Caenorhabditis elegans: one gene and its partners. The protein of the gene in region 3 interacts with the protein of the main gene of each other region in a biochemical or structural test. Each region holds a gene or a part of one and is shown on either strand. Other genes may lie near its edges.

Region 1 (2,961 bases), on a different chromosome or scaffold from region 3:
ACTTATTATCATAAACCTCTATAACATCGTTAATAAAGAGAACCAACTCGTTTTTCAGTATATTCACAACGAAATCTTCATTTTCAGAAAGTGGATTTTCGTCGTCTCCCGAAGTGAACATCAAACTCGTCACAACACTTCGAATCGATGGTTCAAGCTCATTTGAGTCATCTACTGAAAAAATAAATTCCGTGTGAATATTGTAACAAATCCGAAACTTTTTTGGAAACACACATTTGAAAATGTATTTTTCAGTATATTTTTTGAAAAAAAAAATTAATTTTTAACTTCGATAATTGTCGAATTGCCGCCAACCCGTGTAAAAATGCTCACATTTTATCTCCTGATCCAATGTTGGGCGAGCTTTTTCTGTGGTCTGTACCTTCTTTTTCACAGCCCTTTTCGGAGGCATCTGGAAATCACCATAGAATAGAAAATATTGTTTTTATTCCAAGTAAACTTTCGAACGACAACTTTCGTAATAAAAAACTTAGAAACACTCTTCAGGATCGTAGAAAATATTTTATTTGGAGGGAGAAAAATCGCAAAATTAAAGTCAAAAACAAAACAAGAACCGTAGTCCAAGACCACACGACAAGGGGGAAAACTTGGAAGTATGAGAAATATTTCAGAAACAGATTAATTTGAAATGGGGCATAGTCGCAAAGCGGAAAACGACTACACTGGAACAAATGGTGTTTTTCGAAGTGCAAATATGGCCATTGATGATTATAGAGGAGAATCAAATCGATGCTTAGCAGAAATATTGAGCAGTTTACATGAACTGATCTGCCCACTCGTTCAAACAATTGAACGCCGTCTTCGCGTGATTTGCAGTCACTCCAGCCGTCTCTTTCAGCCATTCGATAAACAAATCCTCGTCTTTCTTCAGAAGGAGATACTGTCCGAACAGTACGTAGGCCTGAAATTCAAATTTTAACATTGATCGAAAATTTGAGAAAAAAAAATCTACATACTTTATCGAAGCCTGCATCGGTGAGCTTGGTGCCATATGTTGGCCCGATCCCGGCGATGCATGTGACTTCTTTGTCGCCCATTGGCTCTCCGACGAACTCACGATGCTTAACAGAAGTCGACATGGTTTCTGAAACACAAAATAATTACATTCTTGAATTTGAAAATATTTTCGAAAATCGTAGTAAAAAGATAGTTGCGAAATAAAATAAAACTGGCAAGAATAGATAGGAAAATAGACAACGCTCCCTTTTAAACGAAACGCTTGGCGGCCACAGTTCAGCGGAGCGCGTTTGCATTCTGTCTGCGTCTCTCGATTTGCGCACTCTTTCACGAATACTTCTTTTTGACTGTAATTTTTTGGCATCTGCCTCTCCTCTAAAATAATCGATTCATTCGTATGTCGCTGACATTTATTATTCCCAAGAACTAAAAAGACGGGAAATTTAATCGATAATCTTTTCATATAAAATATTTTTTTCTTAACTTGTATAGAAATGTTGTGAAAATATTGGAAAACAAAATGAGCAATTATTGGTGATGACGTTTTCTGTATTCGAGAATCGCTGGATCTGGTGGTGATGCAAGGGCTGAGAATTTCGGTTGGGCAATTCTATGGCGGCAAGCGAATCTTCCGACTTCATCTGCAAGATTTTGTGGGCTATCTTCCTGCAAGACAATTTATATAAATTATTAATTGAGTATAACATTTACCTGAACACAATGTCCAACTTTTGGTAACACACAAGTCTGAAACTTTCCCTGCATTTGACCAATTGTGAGATCCCTGTCCAGCCGATCAACGCCCGCTAGAACAAGCATCTTCGGAACGGAACATCCCAAAAATTCTTTGGATAATCCTTCAAACCATCCTTTCCAGTACTGTTCTGTTGTTGTTAAATCAATTCGCCAAGTGTACTCGTGTTCCGATACTTCTCTAATTTGAGACGGCATTGAGACCCGTGCAGCTGTGGGATTCCTCGCTGTACCCGAAGAAAGGCACCAGTGAATGGCTTTTTCGATAGAAGGAAATGAAGAAGGCCTTGAATGTAAAAAATGAACCATTCCTCCAAGTGCTTCCATAGCGGAACCTTCGACAACATCAATGACAATGAGTGCAGCGACTTTTGAAGAAATCATCTTTGCATTCAATGTATGAATGGCCAATGCACCACCCATACTGTGTCCAACAATGCATACTGGTGAATCGTCTTCGCCGAAAATGTTCTTGAAGATTGCTCCAATATCTCTACAATATGTCGATAGAAGTTACAAAACTTATCAAAGCGAAACCTCACTTTATTTGGGTTTCTTTCGAAAGATCGTGCTCATCAGAACATTTAGTGTCGCCGTGTCCTCTTAAATCAGGTGCAACAACTCTGCATGATATTAAAGTTGCCAATTCTTTCTGAACAGAACCATTAATGACTGACACTAGAATAGAACAAAACATACCGCAAAACACGCCCATGTGAGGCCTGAATAACCTCCACCGTGAAGCAAATAGAAAATTGGACCTTCATTTCCCTTTATGTACACATTGAAAACATCTCCATCAATGTTTGCGTCCTTCTTTTCATCAAAAAAATCTGACCACGGTAGTTCAGACATTTCTCGTTTCTTTCCAGAAGTTGATGTGCTCGGAACTGGTGGTGGCCTTCCATGAGTGACCGCTTGACGAAGAAGATCATTTTGCTGAAATTGATATTTAATAAAACATCATCTTGTTAATTTTCACTATTAATGTACCCTGTGAGGAGTTGTGACATGTGACGTTTCCGATTGAAGATCCGGAAGAGTGTCTAATTTATCGTCGGACATGGTGATCTGTAAATTAATATATTTAAATATTTAAGACAATTAAATAGAAAGCTATATTTATTAAAATTGAGCCAAAAAAATAAAATTATTAAAAATCTCCGAAATGGCCTAGAAAATGCTGACATGCGTTTTCTAGGCCAACGCGCTCGTAGTACACGAGGACAA
Region 2 (8,026 bases), on a different chromosome or scaffold from region 3:
GAAATCGAAAACGGGCGGCCCTTTTCTGTATTTTCTTGTCCTATCTCACTTTTCTATTGATTTATGCAATTATTGTCATAGTTATCGATTGAAAATAAACATTTTCTGGATTTTTTGGAAAAATTTAATTTTGAACTTCTCTTTTCAGCTGGAAACTGTAAACTCCTTGAGATAGGAAGTTAAATAATGAATTTTCGAATCAATTTTTTCTGCAAAACTATCGATTTTTCTAGGAAATTATTGATTTTTCTTGGAAATTATCGATTTTTCTGCAAAATTATTGATTTTTCTTCCAAATTATCGATTTTTCTGCAAAATTATTGATTTTTCTTCCAAATTATCGATTTTTCTGCAAAATTATTGATTTTTCTTCCAAATTATCGATTTTTCTGCAAAATTATTGATTTTCTTCCAAATTATCGATTTTTCTACACAATTATTGATTTTCTAGGAAATTATTGATTTTTCTGCGAAAATTATTGATTTTTCTGCAAAATGATAGACTTTAATCTCAAGTTGTCAAAGTTTCATTCGGTATTTACAAGAATTTTTAATAAATTAAAAAAAAAAAGATCGATTTTCAGATATGTTTCAGTGGAAAAATGATTAAAAAAAGTGTGGGAAATGTCGTAAAACTATTAAAATTATTAAATTTTTCGCCTGGAATCGCATCGGGCCGGCGAATCGATCGGACGCCACGTGGATCTGTCATGAGCCGTCAATTTTCCCAGTTTCTGAACGTAGTCTTGAGTGAGCGGGAATTTGGAGATCAATTCAGATGAAATTTGAGCCAAAACTTCGAATAAGTCGTTGTCGATCTGGAAAAAATGTGATTTTATTGAGGAATTATCGATTTTTTCAGTTTTTCTTGAATTTTCAGGGAAATCGATATTTCAGAATTTTAAACAAAAATTGATTTTTTTTTTGTATTTTTGTCGATTTTTCTCGAAAATTATCGATTTTTCTAGGAAAAATTGATTTTCAGAAAATTTCCACTGAAGTTATCGACTTTTGCCCAAAATTTTTGAATTTTAAACAATTTCCACTCGCTTATACACGATTTTTAACGATTTTCCACTAAAATTATCAATTTTTATCGATTTTTCCCATTTCGAACCTTGCATGGCTCATCATCTGCCACAAAAGTCGGCGGCGGCGTTGTCGGCGGCGTCGCAAACGAATCCTCGCCTTCAGAATAATCAAAATTCGGCGAATTTGACCATTGCGGCGGCGGCGGCGGCGGCAACGGCGAAAAAATCGAAATCGCCGCAAATCGATCGGTGAGACTTCCGAGCGTGTCGTCCGGATCGTTTATCGATTTTTCAGCGGCGGCCGGAATTTCAGAGAATGTGTCGTAGAATATGTCATCGTCGTCTTCGTCGTCAGCGGAATCGGATCCGTCTGGGGTTAAATTTTCAGATATTTCCGCCGATTTTTCTCCATCCAAAATTCCAAAATCCAACTTTCTAGCGTGAATTCCTCGTCGAAATATCGATTTTTTCGTGGAAATTTCGGAAATCTCAGAATTTCTCAGATTTCCTCGCCGTTTTTCGCGTAAAAACGCTTCCAGCACGCCCAGTCCCTGCTCGGAGCCCAAATCGAGAAGCTCCATAGAGCCCAAGAAGTGCCAAGTCTCTCGCCACATGGCTTCTGATTGCTCGGCGAGCACACGGCCGACACGTTCCCATCCTTTATCGAAATCCGTTCGTTTCAGCTCTTTTCCCGCGGTTTGCCAGCTTTTTGCGAAATCTCGAGCTTCTCGCTCCGTGAAAAATGGTCCCGCCTGTGCTGACACGGTTACTGTAGCTGTGGTCGGCGAGGTACTGTAGGTAGCCGGCGGCTTCTGGGATACTGTAAGCTGTGTGGAGCCGGTTGTTGGATTTCGGTGCAGAAATACGTAGAAACCCTGAAAAAAATTGATTTAAAGTTTTTTTTTCGCATTAAAAAAAATAATGACCTAACTTTTTCGCAGGCCATGTAGGAAAAGTTAGGCCATCAATTTTTTTTCTCAAAAAAAGGTGTTTTCTTTGAATTTTTGGCGCAAAAAGATTGGTGGCCTAACTTTCTGTATTTTAGTGGCCTAGAAATTTTTAAAACACAAAAAATTTTGTAGACAAAATACTGCAAGACTCGCAATTTCTGACTTTTTTTCGGAAAAAAACATTGGCGGCCTAACTTTTTTCCTGGAGTTTCCTAGGCCATCATAGAAATACTTAGCCCACCAACTTTTTTTTCCGATTTTTTTGCACCCAAAAATTGGTGGCCTAGAAACTTTGAAAATCTAGAAAGTTCCATTTTCTTAATAAAAAATACTGGAAAATTGGGAATTTCTGAATTCTCTTTAGCGCAAAAAATTAATTGGTGGCCTAACTTTTTGTTCAGGTGGCCTAGAAATTTTGAAAATCCAAAAGTTCCATTTTTTGGATGAAAAATATTGCGAAAATGGAATATCTTTATTTTTGCGCAAAACATTAATGACCTAACTTGATATTCAGGTGGCCTAGAAATACGGAAATCTTTTCTAGGTCATCAGAAAAAAAGTTAGGCCACCAATTTTGTTGCAAAAATAGGGGTTTTTATTGAATTTTAACGAAAAATTCTAATTTTCCGGTAATTTTTCGAGTTTTTTTTCGATTTTTTTGCAGTAAAAAAACCTAGGCCACCAATTTTTGTTGCTCAAATCTTAGAAATTTTAACGAAAAAAAATTGGATTTTTCCGGTGGTTTTTTGCAGGATCAGGCTAGAAAACTTGATTTTTCACAATTTTCAGAAAAAAAATTGCATTTTTGGCTATTTTCACCACAAAAAAATTGGGTTTTTTCTCCTTTTTTCTCAAATTTTTCAGGAAAATTCGTAATTTCCCGCATTTTTACAGCAAAAAGAAACCTAGGCCACCAGAAAAAAGTTAGGCCATAATCTTATGTTCTAACTAAATTGGCGGTTTTTAGTCATAATTTTACGAAAATATCGAATTTTCCGCAATTTCTTCCCATAAAATTCCTAGGCCTCCTGAAGAAAAAGTTAGGCCACCATTTTTTTTTGTTACAAAAATTCGAATTTTTCGGTAATTTTTCGCTGTTTTTGTCATTTTTCAGTGAAAAATTCTAGGCCACCAATTTTTTTTTGTTGCAAAAATTGGAGTTTTTGATAAAATTTAAACGAAAAAATCGATTTTTCCGCAATTTTTCCCGTTTTTTCTCAATTTTTATCGCGGAAAATTGGTAATTTCCCGCACCTCAATAGCCAAATGAATATCCCGTTGCACCATATCCTTATCCTCTCCCGTATATCGTTCGCCGGCACAATCCAACGCGCTTTTTCCGGATTTGTTGAGCAGTGTCCTATCCGTCGCGGAATTTTCAGTCAAAACTCGAACAACGCCGATTTTTCCGAATTTCGAAGCAAAATGTAGTGGGGTATCCGAGTTTCCTTTGTCCGGCGTATTTAAATATGAATCCAGAATATTGATTTTTCGTAGCGTGACGTCATCGGCGCCGGTGCCGTACAGGCGAATCAGAAAATCGATATTTTGAATGAGTTCCAGAATTTTTGCGATTATTTCCGTTTGGCCGGCTTTGGCGGCAATGTGTAGAGCATTATAACGGAATCCTTCCATCACAATTGATGCCACGTCACCACCGGTATTCACGAGAAAACGTGGATTCGAATCGACGAGGCGTCTGCAAGAAAATCGATAATTTTCACTGCAACTTTTTCCTCACGAGGGACGAGGAAAAATGGTTTCTAGGCCATGGCCGAGAGGCCGACAAGTTTCAGCGGCCATTTATCTTGCTTTGTTTTCCGCCTGTTTTCTTTCGTTTTTCATCGATTTTTTTCGTTTTTTCTTAATAAAACTGATGAATAAATATTTTTTGCAGATGCTAAAACAATTTCCAAGTAAAAAAATCATGTATTCAGTGGGCAAGCAGCGGTGAAAGTGGTCAATGTAAAATGATGGATTACGGGAATACAAAACCTAAACTTTTTCTGAAACATGATACATATGATGCTTAAATGCTGAGACTACCTGATTTTCATAACGAGACCGCTGAAAAAGTTTTGAGATTTTCAAAATTCAACTTTTTGTGCGAAAATCTCGAATTTTTTTGCTGAAACTTGTCGGCCTCTCGGCCATGGCCTAGAAACCATTTTTCCTCGTCCCTCGTGAGGAAAAAGTTGCAGTGATTTTGGTGGAAATTAAGAAAAAAAAAAGGTTTTTTTTGGATTTTTCAAATGAAAATTTGAAAAAAATCGATAATTTCTGACCGGAATTACAGAAAATCGGCATTTTTGTAAAAATTCGGGAAAAATCGATTTTTTGAAGGATATTTGAGAAAAATTCATGAAAAGTGATAATTTTGTTGGAAATTCCGAAAAATCGAAAGTTTTGGTGAAAATTCGAGTAAAAATCGATTTTTTTTTGTAATTTTTTTAGGGGAAATCGATTTTCAAGAGAAATTTGGAAAAACACGATTATTTTAAGTAAAAATTCCAAAAATCTATTTTTGGTGAAAATTTGGTAAGAAATCAATCATTTTGTGAGAAATTTGAAAAAAATCGGTTTTTTAAATAATTTTTTAGGGGGAAATTCGAAAAAATTAATTTTTGTGGGATATTTAGTAAAAATTCCAAAAATTTGGGTGAAAATCAATATTTTTGTGAAAAATTTTGGAAAAAAGTCCGCTTTTTTTTTTTGGGGAAATTCGGGAAACCCCATTTTTTTGGGATTTTCTAGGAAAATTCGATAATTTTTGGTAAAAATTCCAAAAATTTTTTTTTTGGTAAAAATTTGATAAGCTATCGATTTTTTTTTGGGGAAATCCGGGAAAAATCTAGTTTTTGATAAAAATTCCAAAAAATTGATAATTTTTGTGAAAATTTGAGTGAAAATCGAATTTTTAAAGGATACTAGGGGGAAAATAAATTTTTAAAGAAATTCAAGGAAAAAAAAAAGGAAAATGATAGAAAAAATAGATAATTATGGTGAAAACTCGGATCAAAATCGATAACTTCTCGAAAAAGTCTGGTTTTTTTGGGAAAAATCCACCTTCTATGGGAAAATTTCGAGAAAAAGGCTTTTTTCCAGCAAAACTGCGGAAATATCCATCTTTTTGTACAGATTTTTCAATTTTTTCAGCTAAAAACTATAACAGTGCCGGATTTTTTTTTGTAATAAATCGAGAATTATATCTACTTTTCGCCAATTTTTCAAAAATTTCACAATCCTTACAAAAAATTCTCCATATCTCCTTTTTCCACATATTTCTTGAATTCATTCATTTGAATGCGATTTACACCGGAAAACGGTGAATTTGGCTCAGTTGGGGCGACGGGCGGCACGGTTTTCGGTGTCGTCGGCGCATCTCCGTACGCGAGAAAGTCCATCGCTTCTCGTGGCGTTCCGAATTTCTTAAAACGAGCCGACATGCTTTTTCCTTCGGCCGAGTTCACGAATTTCGCCACTTCCTTGACGCTTCTGTAAAAAAAATCGAAATTTTCAGCGAAAAATCGAGTAAAAACTCACTTATACAAGTCTCTGGGCGATTTTAGCATATCTTCCATGGAATATGCCACGTAGACCGGTCCCTCAGTCTCCTGCACCGGTGTATTTGACATTTTACTGCAAAAAAACAATTAAAAAATGAGAAAAATCGACGAAAATCCAATAAAAAACCGATAAAAACCGATATTTCCTCATTTAAAACACCCGCTGAAATACGCTAAACAACATGCAACCCGCAATATCGGAGCGTCGTTGTAGCGCTTTCTGTCTCCGTCTCTCACTTTCCTACACTCTCTCAGGGGGTAAACTTAAAATCGCTGAAAATCGATCGATTTTTTTGCAAAAAAATATATTAAATAATGTAAAGTCACCTGAAATTACTTCTGAAATATATTATAGCAAGAATTACAGCTAGAATTGCAGATTTTCGCCCCATAAACTCTTGAATAAGAGTTTGGTGAGAAAAGAAACAGAAAAAAGTGATGAGGCAACAAAAACAGCTCGAATTTCGCAACTATCACATGATTTTCGAATTTTTTCGAATAAATATTGCAATAGAGCGCAGTTTTATCTGCTAATTTGTGAAAACCTGGCGGATTTTCAGTCATTTTTTTACGAAAAATTTGAATTTTCAGCAAAAAAATCACTAGGCCACCTAAAGAAAAGTTAGGCCACCAATTTTTTTGTTGCAAATTTTTGCAAAACTTGAGGTTTTTGATGAAGTTTTTTACGAAAATTTCAAATTTTCAATTAACTTTTTCTAATTTCACGCGGTTTTCCCGCATTTTTGCAGCAAAATATTCCTAGGCCATCACAAAAAAATTAGGCCACCAATTTTTTGTTGCAAGACTTGAGGTTTTTGATGAAATTTTAACGAAAAATCCGAATTTTCAGTTAACTGTTTCTAATTTTTTGCGGTTTTTTCTAATTTTTCAGTAAAAATTTCTAGGCCACCAGAAAAAAGTTAGGCCACCAATTTTTAAATGCAAAACTTGGGGTTTATGATAAAATTTTCACGTGAAATTCAAATATTCTGGTAATTTTTCGCATTTTCTCGCATTTGTCAACAAAAAAATCCTAGGCCACCTAAACAAAAAGTTAGGCCACAAATTTTTTTGCTGCACAATTTGGGTTTTTGATGAAATTTTTACGAAAAATTCGAATTTTCAGTCAACTTTTCAAAAAAAAAACTACATTTTTGGTAATTTTCATCACAAAAAATCGGGGTTTTCGGAAACATGCACAGTAACATCCCAATTTTTCAGAAAATATCAATTTTTTCCAGATTTTTTCGCCGGATTCTCAACGAAGCGCGTTTGCATTCTCCCCGATTTTCGAAAAATCGTCACCATGTTCCTTATCACTTATCAGAAGAAAATGAATAATTAAAATGTTTCTTATCGGGGTGTCTAATTGACTCTTCGAGCACCTGACACAGTGTCACCAGATGCACCTGCCGGAAAATGCGCCGATTTTTGCTTCTGTTCCACGTATTTTTTGCGTTTTCACACAGTTTTCCTGTTAGAAATGATGATCGTGGAGTTTTGCCGAATAGTAAGTTTTTACTGGGAAACAATTATTTTTGATTTGAAACTAAAAAAAATCTGAGAAAAAACATTCTTTTCAAAGTTTTTTTTCAGTCGACGCTCTATTCTGTACAAATAAGGATTTAAGACAAGTAGTCTTCAATGCATTGCAAAATATTACAAATCCAAAGGCAATCGCCGTTGATCAAGTTCAGGCAGCTATTCAAGTGAGTTTTTTTCTTTTTTTTTCGCCGAAAAAATTCGAAAAACATTTTCTTATCTATTTTCTTACAAATTTTCGAGTTCTCGCAAATTTTTGTGTTAAACCTAACAATTTCAGTGTAAAATTTCATAGTTTCGGGATTAGCTTTGGCTTAGGCTTACAATTAGGCTAAGACTTATCCTTAGGATTAGTCTTAAGTTTAGGCTTAACCGTAGGGTTAGGCTTAAGCTTAGGTTTAAGCTTAGGATTAGGCGTCGGCTTAGGCTTGGCCTTAGAATCAGGCTTAGGTTTAGGCTTGAGCTTAGACGTAGGCTTATGAAATAAAAATATAGATTTTAATTTAGTTGTTTATACTAAAATCACCAAATGTTCCAATTCCAATAATTTCAAAACGACTTTCTGGAATCTTTTCATTTACATTCGAAAAAATAAAAACCGGAAAAAAAATTACAGAGTTTTAAAATTAAAGTGTTTGGAGCAGCCACGCGCTTCTGGCTTCCCACGAATTTTTGAATGTAAAAGTCTGCCGAACTAGGCCATTTGAGCTCGGCCATGGTCGTGGTAGATTAACGCCAAAAATGCATTGAGGAAGACCAGAAGCCCGTGAGCACCACCACCGACAAAATTTGCACTCAAAAGTATATATTCCAGACCGCCCTAATCCCGAATTTCGCGTCTTCCGGTGGCACATGGCTTGTCAGTGCCACGTCATATCATCGTGTAAATGGATATGTGGATGATCGGGCGACGAGTATGGACACGTTTTGTGCTGTT
Region 3 (5,318 bases):
TTCATCATTAGCCGGGTGGAACACTTTCTATGCTTCTCTGTGTCTCTACCATGTATTTGATATCTACAGTAATCAAATCATTGTCACTTCTTTTTTTCAGCAATCACTGTTTTGTTTTTTAGGGGACGAAGACGAACTGTCGGAAAACTGAGAAAAACGAAAATGGATAGCATTAAAAAACGATCAAATTCTCGTTTTTGTGTTCGTCACATTTTACACTTATAGGTGACTGTCTGGCAAGGATTGCCGGAGGACACCAACGATCATAAGTGCTAAACAAAAAAAAGTTGAATTTTCACAATGAGCCAAATATAAGTCTGAAACCAATCAGGTCAGCAGATCATCTGGACATTTTCAGCTGTCAACGGTTTCCACCCTCACATCGAAATACGTCAATCGGAAAAGAAGTCGTCGAAATGAGAGGGAACCGGAACAAAGAACCTGTTTCCCATTTTATTTCCAGCAGCACCCTTCTAAATTGTTAATTTCGTGATTAGTTCCTCTTAGGTTTCACCCACACCTACTCACAGTTCAGTTAAATTCATCAATTCAATCAGTAGTAATTTCACAAAATTTGAGAATGGGAAGTGAAAGGGGGATCAGAGAAGAGGGATCGTCGATAACAAAAAAAAGTGGAAAAGGGGAACTCGTCGCTGATGGACATCATGTCAGTGATGATAAGCCAAAAAAGGACGAAGAGATGGAGAAGGGATAAAAAACGATAGTACATCAAAACAGAATGATAAGTTGCAAAAAATTGGAGATCTAAAAACAATTAATGCCTGTTGAGAGCTCGAAACATATAATAATGAAAGAGACTGTAAGACAGGGAAAATAGACACGTTAGAGGAATCAATAGACGAAATTATGGGATGCAATGTGACTCGATTGAAGATTCCAATGGTTTACACTTCCGACGAGCAGCTCGAATCATCAAATGTTGGCTTTGTTTGACGAGAAGCAAGACGTTCTTTATACTTCGCACTGGTCTGAAACTCATTTATTAGATTTATTAGAATTGTTACTAGAAGAAAAAAATGTTTTCTAATTGATTATTTTATGACAGGGTTTTTGCAATTAGTATGACATTATTACTTTAGTAATCTGATAATAATATTATTTAAAGTTTTAAACGTATTCTAGGCGCTACATACAATTCTAGTTACTACATGCGATTTAATAGGCCATTTGGAAAAAAGAGACAATTTTGTTAACCTACAGTGAATAGCTATATTTACCTAGTTAACAAGTTTGAAAAGTAATTGAGGATTCATTACAGTAATTAGTATCAGGATTCATTTTTATAAAATGTTCATAACAAAAGTTCAATTCTATTCTACCTCTTTGATAATCATCGATCGTCTGCCTTTTGGAAAATTTCTGACGCCAGGAACTCTTCTCAACTCGGTTGGGCTTGCTTTTGTTGCTGAAGAAATTCCACTCTTTGTCTTCGCTTCTAAAATGTAGATGTATTTAATTTAATGCTTAAAATGAAAAAATGAGAACTCACTTTTAATAGCTGGAGTAATTAGCACTTGTGTCTTCAGAGTTATTCCTTCGCCAACATCTTCACTGGATTTTCTTTTGGATCTGAGACCAGACGAACTCGAAGGAGTTGAGGTTGTTGGAGATTTATCGGATGCAACAGAAATTGTTACGGGAACGAGAGAAGATTTGTTCATAGACAAACGCTTGTACTTTTGCTCGATTTTTTTGGCAACTTTATTAGAAGAAGCAGTTGATGACGTTAATCCTAGACGAATACTGCGACTTCTCGAAGTAGATGCAGCTGAAGACGGCGTCGTGACATCTGATCCTTCTCCAGATAATTGTACTTTACTTCGAGATCTTGACGACTTCGGAATGATGATTTCCTCTTCATCGTCGACATCCTCTTCCTTTGCTCTCTTGGATTTTGTTTGAGTTCTCGATGACTTTGATTTTGGATTTTCATATTGTTCTTCATTGTCATCTGAATCATTGTTGACTTCCACAGCTTTTCGAGTAGTTCTCTTTCTGGGAGTAGCTTTCTTTTCCGGTTTAACTTCCACTTCATCATTATCTTTATTGTCACTCTCTTCTTTCACAGCTAATCTCCGGGTACTTCTTTTTGGTGTCACTGCATTTTTATCTTCTTCGGCGAGTTTCTTCTGTCTCGTTGGCGTCTTTTTACCATCACTTGAAGTTTTCTGAATAGCGTCTGTCACCAATTTCTTCAGCTTTCCCATATCAACTTTGTCAGTGTAGTTGGTTTTCATCGATATATCGAACATTGATGCAATACAACCAACGACGGCAGATGATTCGTTCTGAAAATAATTGTGTAATTGGTAGGTTGGTTGCGTGTGTATACAAATATATCCACTTTTGAAGTTTTCTGACCCCATAATTTGGCTTCAGAGCATGTAGAGTTAGGTATAACACGGAATAGCGTGTAATGGGGTGGAAGACGTTAAGTACGAACCTTAAGTACATTCTGCAAGGTGCCTGGCAATCCAGCAATGAACTTCTGTTTGGCATCAAAAACCTTCTCGGGGGACGATTCGAGAGCCTGTAACCCATTCAAAAATAATAACGTTCGAAAAAGTATTAACTCACCATCCATGGCAATGTGCCAGTTGCCCACATCATCAGATTATAGGCAAGAATCTCAATATCACCACGGAATGATGGATTGTTACCACGATGTGCGTCAGTTGAGGTGAAGATGCATGTTCCATTGTGAGCTCGTTTCTTATCAGGCTTGTCGACGTTGTTCGTAGTGCGATGAGCTAAACCAAAATCCACAAGAACGGCTGTTGAATACACTCCTTGTTTTTCTAGAAGAATGTTGGCAGCCTTTACATCTGCGTGAGCATAGTCCTGAACAAAGAAGAATATCAGCAATTTAAATGAAAATGTTCACAAACCGATTCATGCAAGTACTCGAGAGCATCAAGAATACAGCTCGCGACAGTCAATGAATCCTTCATAGCCAGAGTACCACCGTTAGTCTCTCTTACAGCTTCCAATGATGTTGCATACTTCGGAATGATCATATATCGCATTTTTTCCGATTCGTATGTAAAATATCCATTGGCAATGAGGTATGGAAGACCGATCCAGCTAATTTTCTTTTTCTTCTTATAAGATTCAATTAATTCCTTTTTGAGAATTCTGTTGAACACTACAACTTCTGTGAGAAGCGGTCCATTTGTGGATGGTTCAATTTTCATCACCATTTGCTGCGATTTTCCTTCTTCGGTACACGTATGAATTCGTCCGAATCCACCGGTGGCAAACTGTTTTCCAACGATGAATGTCTTTTTGCTGATATCATTGATTTTATGACCAACACGAACTTCAGCAGCCAACTCGTGCAGCTTTTTGGCGGGAGCTTTTTTCGGTGGCATTCTACCTGAAAATGAAATGTATATAATTGGTTTTCGAAACACGCGAGTATTGCAATGATTTTAAGTTTTGTTGATTAGGGTTGGTGAAAAGCGAAAATAAAAGAAAGCAAAATGTCATATAACGAAACTAAACGAACAGGGAAAGTGGGAGTGCTTTGAATGCCCGCGATTTTTAAATCGAACGAAGGGGCGCACTTGCTACAGAATTTTTTTATTAAATTTTTTTCTTCTATTTAAATATTTATATTCTAGAATCCTGAAAGAGAAGATCATATTTAAAATTAAAAGTTTCAAACGGATAATTCAGCTTTGGCATTTTGCTACCGATAAAAATTCTGAATATTTGAATGGAATCAATATAAAATGTTTATTAGACAAACCAGAATGTTTCTTAGAAAAATCTCAATCAACCTATAAATCTCAAATGACAAATTGAATTTGATCTACTATCATTCTGGAAGGATATGGGATTCGGGGGAATCATGTGCATAAGACAGCGTCGCGATTTGTTCTTGATTATATAAAGAATTGGTGGGAAATAGTACATAGTGCTCAACAATGAATGGTATGGTGTTGCAGAGAATTTGCGAATAATTACGACGGAACAAGAAAAAATAAATTTGAGTCAAACGGGGTACAATGGAAAATCATCCTGGTGGTCTGGCTGGCAATACGAAAAAGTCTAATACCGGAGGATCTAAGAGATGGGTCACAAAAAAAACTACAAATAACAACAAATGAATGGTAAATGTATAATTTTCACAAATCGTTTCTACCTGAGAAAATGGGAAGCAATATGAATTGGAAAATTAAACAATTAAGGGAAAAGAAGAAGAAAATAATAATTGAAACACAAAACTGAGTATGTCGAAAATTGAAAGAAAAAAAACAGAATGACAGTAGATGGAAAAGGAAAGAATAACAACTATGAAACGGATAAAAGAGAAAATAGAAATAGAATTTAAAGTGGTGAATTAATGCTAGAAATTTCTTGATTCGCGATTTATTTTTTAGTTGATTTCAGGAGAGTTGACGATGATGACGTGGAAGAAGTGCTGCGCTCGAAAATTGGCTCCGCTTGTGGCCCAGTTCGGGGGCGAGAATGAGAAGTACGGGATGACGCAGAGGAAGAAGGCCGAGAAGATGTTACTTGTCTAGCTGACGATGGACGTGAAGCATTTGGCGTCGGACGAAGACGTCGTGGAAAATCGAAGGCATCCGTGTCTCCATCAATGAACGATTTCACAGGGTACTGAAAATATGCATACTTAACTGAATCATAATAAATAAAATTATACTTACGGGGTTATTATTCTTCAAGTAAAATGCGAGTGCTTTGTAAAGGAATTGATATTGTTGCTCTGTTTGAACGAGTCCAGATCGATATGTTCTGACGTACTTAACCATCTTGTATACATCCATCGGACACAATAATCCGACTTTCTTCACTTGGTTCAGAAGTGCGTCCAATACAAGTACGGTACCTGTTCTACCAATTCCAGCACTACAATGAACAACGATCGGCCCTTGAGGCAATGATGCAGCAATTGGTTGAGCATTGAAATAATCATATTCACGATCGACATCTTCGAGGAAATTGAGTACTGCGTAAGGATGTAGTGGACATCCATGATCTGGCCAAGTCAAATATTGTAATTGACGAATTTCCCTCGTATCTTTTCCTTTCTTCATGACCAAAGTGCGAAGAATGTAGCTGATACCATCACCATTAAGCTCAGCTTCTGGGACTAAACCCTTCGCAATTCGATTCGTTTTTTCTTGTTCCAATTCAGCTTTCACTTCATCAGACACAGCTCGCTGAACTTTCCGCTCGATAGTGCAAGTCAAAGAAATATCACCGTGCACTTCTGGCTTATTCACTTCTGCTGGCCAATATCTCGCACATTTCTCTTTTCGTTCATTTTC

The links.
Region 1: of the proteins of vrk-1 (region 3) and baf-1, one has a biochemical effect on the other in vitro, tested with the Caenorhabditis elegans proteins (2 studies listed by BioGRID).
Region 2: of the proteins of vrk-1 (region 3) and lem-4, one has a biochemical effect on the other in vitro, tested with the Caenorhabditis elegans proteins (one study listed by BioGRID).

What each region holds. Positions count from the first base shown.
Region 1 is NC_003281.10:9,465,608-9,468,568, reverse strand, and holds baf-1 (Barrier-to-autointegration factor 1), read right to left. Parts: upstream 1,106-2,961; 5' UTR 1,101-1,105; coding exon 978-1,100; intron 923-977; coding exon 776-922; 3' UTR 511-775; downstream 1-510. Other genes in the region: tag-342 (transcription initiation factor TFIID subunit 13 family protein), read right to left, coding at 3-174, 334-412; B0464.9 (putative protein phosphatase methylesterase 1), read right to left, coding at 1,507-1,644, 1,690-2,224, 2,274-2,383, 2,431-2,670, 2,725-2,796. UniProt on the Caenorhabditis elegans protein: DNA-binding protein which plays an essential role in nuclear envelope formation. Required for normal chromosome segregation during mitosis. Associates with the nuclear lamina via its interaction with LEM domain containing proteins emr-1 and lem-2.
Region 2 is NC_003282.8:848,759-856,784, forward strand, and holds lem-4 (Ankyrin repeat and LEM domain-containing protein 2 homolog), read right to left. Parts: upstream 6,005-8,026; 5' UTR 5,940-6,004; coding exon 5,875-5,939; intron 5,621-5,874; coding exon 5,525-5,620; intron 5,477-5,524; coding exon 5,231-5,476; intron 3,681-5,230; coding exon 3,236-3,680; intron 1,907-3,235; coding exon 1,118-1,906; intron 819-1,117; coding exon 648-818; 3' UTR 511-647; downstream 1-510. Other genes in the region: lgc-33 (Neurotransmitter-gated ion-channel ligand-binding domain-containing protein), read left to right, coding at 1-92; Y55F3BR.11 (Ground-like domain-containing protein), read left to right, coding at 6,967-7,057, 7,144-7,256, 7,904-8,026. UniProt on the Caenorhabditis elegans protein: Involved in mitotic nuclear envelope reassembly by promoting dephosphorylation of baf-1 during mitotic exit.
Region 3 is NC_003280.10:5,920,046-5,925,363, reverse strand, and holds vrk-1 (Serine/threonine-protein kinase VRK1), read right to left. Parts: upstream 3,398-5,318; 5' UTR 3,393-3,397; coding exon 2,910-3,392; intron 2,863-2,909; coding exon 2,599-2,862; intron 2,552-2,598; coding exon 2,465-2,551; intron 2,310-2,464; coding exon 1,511-2,309; intron 1,457-1,510; coding exon 1,341-1,456; intron 990-1,340; coding exon 906-989; 3' UTR 526-905; downstream 1-525. Other genes in the region: Tyrosine-protein phosphatase non-receptor type ptp-2, read right to left, coding at 4,396-4,644, 4,695-5,318. UniProt on the Caenorhabditis elegans protein: Serine/threonine kinase that phosphorylates baf-1, thus regulating the association of baf-1 with chromatin and nuclear membrane proteins during nuclear envelope formation. May act through the egl-17 signaling pathway.